Linked DNA regions of Callithrix jacchus. The protein of the gene in region 2 interacts with the protein of the main gene of each other region in a pairwise test. Links are inferred from orthologs where the notes say so. Each region holds a gene or a part of one and is shown on either strand. Other genes may lie near its edges.

Region 1 (4,155 bases), on a different chromosome or scaffold from region 2:
GTTTGAGCACCGAGAGGTCAAAGAGGGAGCTAGAGGCTGCAGCCGGAGGTGCCTGTGCCACCGCTGCGTGGCCAGGATCCAGCCACAAGGCGTCGACTGCCAGAGATTCCTTCTCTTCCTCCTCCTCCCGCTTCCGCTTCAGACCCTTGCTCAGCATCTGCAGAGAGCAGGGAGTTAAAGTCAAGTTATGGAAAACAAATGTCAAGTTCAAAGCCTGGATCTGACAGCTGCTGCAGGTAGGATCTTTGGCAAGTCACTTAGCGTCTCTGTGCCTAGCTTTTGTTAGGGAACTTTAAAGATATAGGCAATTTTTATTTAATTGTAGATGTATATTTATAGACTTTTTTTTTTTTTAAGAGATGGAGTCTCGCTCTGTTGCCCAGGCTGGAGTGCAATGGCATGATCTCAGCTCACTGCAACCTCTGCCTCACGGGTTTAAGTGATTCTCGTTCCTCAGCCTCCCGAGTAGCTATAAGCCACCACGCCCGGCTAATTTTTGTATTTTTGGTAGAGATGGGGTTTCACCATGTTGCCCAGGCTGGTCTCAAACTCCTGACCTCAAGTGATCTGCCTACCTCGACCTCCAAAGTGCTCGTATTACAGGCGTGAGCCACCGCACCCAGCCTATAGACTTCTTACATTTTGTATTTTATATTTTATAAAGTATATTTATGGACTTCTTTATTTAAAAAAATAGAGATGGTGTCTCACTTTGTTGCCCAGGCTGGTCTCAAACTCCTAGCCTGAAGCAATCCTCCTGCGTCAGTCAATAAGTACTCTTTTTTCTTTCTCCTTTTATTTTTTGTAGAGACAGGGTCTCACTATGTTGCTCAGGGTGTCAAACTCCTTGCCTCAAGCCATCCTCCCGCCTCAGCCTCCCAAAGTGCTGGTATTATAACTGAGCTGCCACACCTTTTTTTTTTTTTTTTTTGAGAGACAATTTTTCTCTCTTGTTGTCCAGGCTGGAGTACAATGGCGAGATCTCGGCTCGCTGCAATCTCTGCCTCCCAAGTTCAAACAATTCTCTTGCCTCAGCCTCCCCAGTAGCTGGGATTACAGGCACCCGCCACCACGCCCACTAATTTTTGTATTTTTAGTAGAGACAGGGTTTTACTATGTTGACCAGGCTGGTCTCAAACTCCTGACCGCGCTCACGATCTGCCTGTCTAGGCCTCCCAAAGTGCTGGGATTACAGGTGTGAGCCACCTCGCCCAGACCACCAATAAATACTCTTAATGATAACATTATAATGTCTTCAGTGAACCATGTGGAATGGCCAATATTCACCTTTCCCCTACAAAAGCAGCTGTTTCACATAGTTTATTATAAGTAATTATGTATAAATTATAAATACTAAACTAGTTTCACATAGTTTAATATTTATTGTCTACTATATATTTCAAACAGTAAATAAATAAGCAAACACAGGAAATGTACAGAGAATTACAGGAAGACACTAAAAGGTCCTGGAGACCTTTCAGATGATCAGAGGAGGCTCCCGAGAGGAGGTGACATTTGAATGGAGCCCTCAGGCCAGAGAAGTCAGCCAAGGGAGACCCCCTGGGAAAAGGATTCTGGGAGGAGGGATCAACAAAAAAAGGCAACCAAAGACCCAGAGGCTGGATGGGCTTGAACTGAAAGAGACTAGCATGCCTGGCATACAGAGAGTGACATGGTAGGAGACCAGATTGGGGAGCAGCAGAGGAAACGGGCACCAGCCAGGTCACAGAAAGCCACATATGCAGAAGTAGGGAGTCTGTATTTTATCATGAGCGTGGTGGGCGGTCATTAAAGGAATTTGAGCAGGGAGGGGAGTGGTGTTGTGAGCTGACTGGGTTTCCGTCCCCCCATGGCTGCTTTGAGGAAGACTGGGGGGAGGGGAGGAAGAGGGGGAATCTGAGAACCACTGGTAAGCTGTACTCGGTTGGGACGGACGATGGTGATGGCCTGGAGGAGGAGCTGGTAGTGTATGGAAGGAAGTCGGTCGAGTCACGATTTATTTGGGAGGCAGAATCGACGGGGCTTGCCGGGAAATCGTGCTGGGCACTGGGGTCAGTCACTGAGATAAGTTTGAGGACCCACTCTCTTCTTGGAGTGGCTGGGGGTGGGGTTGGAGTTTTGGACCCCTGGCGCTACCTACCTTTTTGGGCCAGTAAGGGTCCAGGGTCCAGTTCCCGGGACCCTGCCTAGCAAGATCTTAAGAGTGGACCATCACACTAGTCAAAACTGGGTCTCCGTCCCCTTCCCCGCGGTCCCAGGAGTGAGGAACCGCAGGAATTCCGCCCCCGACCCCCGACTCCGCCCCCGGGTCCCGGCGCCCCCTAGCGGTGCCCAGGCCGGCTTTCCCCCGGGGATTCTGGCCCCTCTGACCCCAGGACTCCTACTGCCCCGCTTCCCGGCTGTGATTCCTGCCGGCCTCCCGGGGCCGTGAGAGCCGGGACCCCCGGCGGGCTGTTCTGTGCGCCCGGCCTCCGCTCGCTTCCGGCAGTGGAGGCGGCTCCTCCCGAAGCGGCGGCGGCGGCGGGGGCGGGTGAGTCACGCAGCCGGAGCCAGGGAGCCGGCGCCTCCGCCCCCTTCTCGGGCTGCGGCGTGATTCACCCGGCCCGGCCGGGGCAGACGGCACATAGAGGCCCGTGTGTCTCGATCCCGGTCAGCCCAGACGGGCACCTGTCGGACCCAGGGATCGAACTTCGTAAAGGACCCGGCCGCTGGCACCCCTTCTCTCCCCAGGCCCCTTCATTTACATACCCTGCTCACTAGCGGCCAATCAGAACAAAGAGGTAGCCATCCACAGCCAATCAGGAAACGGCGGCAGCAGCATCGCTTGCTCACTCTCCTCCAGCAACCGGCACCTGGATCGCAAGACGCAGTTCTGACTCGAGCGCACGACTCCAGACTCCTAACTAACCTTAGCGACGCCCACTCTCGTGGCTGCCCCTCCCTTCGCCCCAGGGATTGGCTCTGGACGGTGATGGGCGGAGCCTGTAGGGGGCGGATTCTGAAGGAGGGGAGGTTGGCTTCAGGGCGCATGCCCGGGCAGCTGCTCTAGTGAAGGGTGAAAAGAGGTGGCTTTTTACCCTGGGGAATGGTGGCGGGTGGGCCTTTTGCCTCTCAAAGTACGAGCCCCTCACAACTACCCATGCACCTGCCAAATATGGCAATTAAGGTTCTTACACATCACGCCCCGACAGGGGTCTACACTACAGATATGCCCGGGTTCAAATTCCGACTCCGGATTCACCACTCAGTAGATTTGTGACCTTGGAAAACTGATCGACCTCTCCAAGCTACACGAAGTTAAATAAGGATAGTCTTGCCTACCTCTTCACAGCAAAGTTTAAATAGGATGGTATCTATAAGAGCACAGTCTAGAGATAGGGTCCTGACAGGCTCTAAAGCATCATCTCAAAGGTTATTTGCTAACTGCAAAGGATGAAATCCTTTTATGATGTAGCCCTCATAATCTTAATCATGTAATGAAATTCTGCATTACCAATGGCGGGACACTGGGTGCCACCTACCATAATGCATTAGGATTAGGAAGTACATTAATAAGAATTAGGACATACCCTGTGGAGTCTCCCAGTTCACTGCATAAGCAGAATCTCCCCAGGCCTTTAGATTCAGCCTCCAGTTTACTGGCAATAGAGAGGAACAAATTAAACACAGTCAGACAAATCCAGAATGTGGGACACTCTACAGCACGACTGGGCTATTTTGCCAGAAATTCAATGTCAAGAAAAGATAAAAAATGGTTTGGGGCTGAGTGTGGTGGCTCACGCCTATAATTCCAGCACTTTGGGAGGCCAAGGCAGATGGATCACCTGAGGTCAAGAGTTGGAAACCCGCCTGGGCAACATGGCGAAACCCCGTCTCTACTAAAACTACAAAATAAATCAGCTGGTCGTGGTGGCATGTGCCTGTAATCCCAGCTACTCAGGAGTATAAGGCAGGAGAACCACTTGAACCCAGGAGGCAGAGGTAGCAGTTAGCCAAGATTGTGCCACTGCACTCTAGTCTGGATGACAGAGTGAGACTCTGTCTCACACACACAAAAAAAGGATTCGGGTGGGGGAATATCCCAGAATAAAATATAGTATGTAATTTCTTCATTACAACCAAATTAGCACGTGATCCTTCACTGGATCCTGATTT
Region 2 (3,635 bases):
CCATCATCATGTCCATATGTACCCAGTGTTTAACTCCTACTTATAAGTGAGAACATGTATTTGATTTTCCATTTCTTTGTTAATTTGCTTAGGATAATGGCCTCCAGCTGCATTCATGTTGCTGCAGAGGATATGATTTTGTTCTTTTTTATGGCTGCATAGTATTCCATGGTGTGTATGTACCACATTTTCCTTATCTCATTTACCATTGATGGGCACCTGGTTTGATTCCATATCTTTGCTGTTGTGAATAGTGCTGCAGTGAACTTGTGAGTGTAGGTGTCTTTTTGGTAGAGCAGTTTATTTTCCTTTGGGTAGATAGCCAGTAATGGGATTGCTGGTTCAAATGGTGATTCAATTTTTAGTTTTAAAGCTTTGTAATATTCTACCCTGTTTCTATTATATAGCCTTTTTTCTTCTGTGCAGGACTATTGCAATATCTATAGCTTTTTAGTCAGTCTCTGTGATTAATATTTAGGTTGTTTCCAGTATTTAGCCATTTTAAAATAATGTTGCAGTGATGAATAACCTTGTGCATAGATTATTTCACATTTTGTCACTATAGTTTGGGACATATTCCTAGAAGTGGGATTCCTAGGTCAAAGGGCAAGTGCATCTACATTTTTTCTAGATATTGTCAGATTCCCCCAAAGAGGTTTTTGTATTTTGCATTCCCAGCAAAATACAATCAGCAACGAAGATTGCTGTACCATGTGTTTATCAATTGTGAATTTGTTCCTAGCATTTAGAAATGGAGAGATTCTACTTAAAAATCCTATTTCCAGTGTGTTTAAAACACAAACAAACAGAGAATCTGGCAGTGGTACGCCTTAATCTAAATATGGCAACAGTTGGCTAGAACGGAATAATAGCTGCCCCTTTTCCGGGAAAGGTACTCTCTAGGTTACTGTGACCCCCACTTGGCCATTTTACTTACTTTTGCTGCCTATCAGTCCCCTACAGACATGAGATTTTGACCCCTGCTTCTGAGTATGATTGTCTGGGTAGGTAGAATAGAAACAGAGAATTTAGAACTTGAAGACATAGAAGACAGTTTAGATCATGTTAGAAGAGCCACCAGTGTGAATGTTGATGACCCTAAAGAGTAGTGCCAGGGAGTATGACAAGGGGATATTAGGAACCCAGGATTGGAGTCCTCGAGGAAAGTACATGTCCTAGAGGTCCCTGGAACACTATCTGAAAAAGGAGGCATATTTTTTTGGCTGTCATGATCCTATACCACAGAGATTTTGTGAAGACAGCAGTAGAGCGGGTCTGGAAAGGTCCAGGGGCTAGAAGCAGGGAGTGTGCTAAATCCCACCCAGTGTACTCTTCCTGCCTTCCCCCATGTACTGAGAGACTGGGAAAGGTGGGGAATGGGAAAAGGAGCAGCTGTTTATGTTCAGTTTAACATTCTCTGAGTTTCTTCATCTAGGTCTTGAGTCCATTCTCTTCTGTTGTTTTGGCTTCCCTGTTTAACCTGCTCCCTGTTTCAGGAGAGAAGCCTCATCAGTGCCAAGTCTGTGGGAAGACCTTCTCTCAGAGTGGAAGCAGGAATGTGCATATGAGAAAGCATCACTTGCAGCTGGGAGCAGCTGGGAGTCAAGAGCAGGAGCCACCTGGTGAGGAGGGTGGGTGTAGTAGAGGGCTATCCCTTCTAGGGTTCAAAGAGCCAAATCACTGTCCTGCCTGGTTATCTGGAAATTTTTTGATTCTGTTTTGGGTAGATAGACCTGGTCTCATTTGATGGGCTGATGGTTTCCAAACATAGCTATACAGTAGAATCATCTGCAAGCTTTTAAAATTTATATATTTTTTTGTTGCTTGTCCCCCCCCACCAATAAAACAAAGCAATCTCATAAATGAGATAATTTGCAAGATCCCAGAATCTGTAGTTTTAAAAGTTCCCGTAGTAAGTTTGATGGTAACTAGTGCTGATCCATGAACGAGGATTTCAGTAACACAGTGACAAAAGATTTCTGTATGGCAAAAGTTTAAGCTTTTTTTTTTTAGATGGAGTCTTACTCTGTCACCCAGGCTAGAGTGCAGTGGCGCCATCTCAGCTTACTGCAACCTCCGCCTTCTGGGTTCAGGATTCTTCTGCCTCAGCCTCCTGAGTAGCTGGGATTACAGCCAGGTGCCACCACACCTGGCTAATTTTTGTATTTTCGTAGAGATGGGGTTTCATCATGTTGGCCAGGCTGGAAGCATTTTCTGCTTACCAGTTGTGACTACCTTTTTGCCCTGTCTGAAATTTGACAACTTTTTAATTCTTATTCCTTTGCCATTAATTGTCTTATTCCTTTCCTTAATTGTTCCAAATATTCCTTTCTAAAGGTCCGCCTATCCTGTCTCATATACTAATTCTTCAGATGCTGAAAACAAGCAAGGGTCATTAGGCTTATTACTCTTTCCCTTCTAGGTTTATTCTTGTTTCTCGAAAGTAGGTGAAATAAGAGGTGGCATCCAATACATAGGTTAACTTCTAGTAATGAAAGAGAAGTCCAGCTTCCCGTTGAAAGAAAATGAGGACCAGGCACAGCCTTGACTGCTGTATGTCTCTCACAACCTATTCTCTGTGCAGCTGAGCCACTAATGGGCAGTAGTTTGCTTGAAGAGGCTTCAGTACCCAGTAAAAACCTGGTGTCTATGAATTCCCAGCCCAGCCTTGGTGGAGAGTCCTTGAACCTACCAAATACCAATTCTATCCTGGGAGTTGATGATGGTAAGACTTCCACCTCTCCTTTATTTGGGAAAAATGGGCTGCAACTAGGGGCTAAGGAATGGGGTGTCTCCACAGTGGAGGTTTAAATCTCATTTCTTATGAATAGCTGTGGTATGATTGAGTAGCATTTGTGTTCTTATTCTCTGGGGTGGATAAGTGAGTCTGTTTAAAAAAATTTTTTTTCATTGAAGATAATATAACAAAGAATAAAAAGAAAAAATCTTAAGAAAAAATTATTCATAATCCTAGCATCCTAGCACAACTATTTCTATCTTTCCTATTGCAGTTATGGAAGAACTTAACTTTTAAAACATTTAAACAGAACATAACCAGGTTTTACAGAGGAGATATAAAGCAATTTCTCCATACCTTCAAAAGCCATATCTTCTGGAGAAAAGAAAGGGCTCTCTAGGAAACACTTGCTCCTCTCTGGTATAGAAATTTCACCCAAGTTACACAGGCCAGGCCCTCTTCTCTGAAAAACTTAACAGGTGAGGTCAGCATGCATTTATTCAGTGCCTACTGTGTGCCTGGCACCATGGGAAAGACAAAAGTAGAAGCTAGGGACCTTAATATCCAGTTGAGAAGTGAAAGCTTACATATATATGGGAAACAACATTGAGTACATAAAAGGCAGTATATAGTGAACATTAAATTATATGGTACAGTATAAAAGAGTTATATCAGCTAGAAAACCCCTAGAAGAAACTTTTGATTTTCTGAGGGCTAAGTGGTATATCCTTAAAATATTTCTAGATTTTCATGGTGATCCCACTGATGAACATTTAGTAACTGTGAGATCTTGTGTTTTGCTCTTCATATCATTTTCAGTCAGTGAGTGCTATCAGTGTCATTGGTTCATACCATATTCAGTCAGTGAGTGCTGTCATTATCATTGGTGACTGCTTTA

Evidence for each region.
Region 1: the proteins of ZNF410 (region 2) and SERTAD1 interact in binary tests that used the Homo sapiens proteins (3 or more experiments, as listed by UniProt). The two-hybrid records come from large-scale screens. The link is inferred for Callithrix jacchus from reciprocal best matches to the Homo sapiens genes ZNF410 and SERTAD1.

The regions. Positions count from the first base shown.
Region 1 is NC_133523.1:35,982,786-35,986,940, forward strand, and holds the start of SERTAD1 (SERTA domain-containing protein 1), read right to left. Parts: upstream 2,875-4,155; 5' UTR 2,749-2,874; intron 158-2,748; coding exon 1-157. UniProt on the Homo sapiens protein: Acts at E2F-responsive promoters as coregulator to integrate signals provided by PHD- and/or bromodomain-containing transcription factors. Stimulates E2F1/TFDP1 transcriptional activity.
Region 2 is NC_133509.1:108,853,349-108,856,983, forward strand, and holds part of ZNF410 (zinc finger protein 410), read left to right. Parts: intron 1-1,496; coding exon 1,497-1,622; intron 1,623-2,422; exon of another isoform or gene 2,423-2,584; coding exon 2,585-2,725; intron 2,726-3,011; exon of another isoform or gene 3,012-3,216; intron 3,217-3,635. UniProt on the Homo sapiens protein: Transcription factor that binds to the sequence motif 5'-CATCCCATAATA-3', and is specifically required to silence expression of fetal hemoglobin in adult erythroid cells.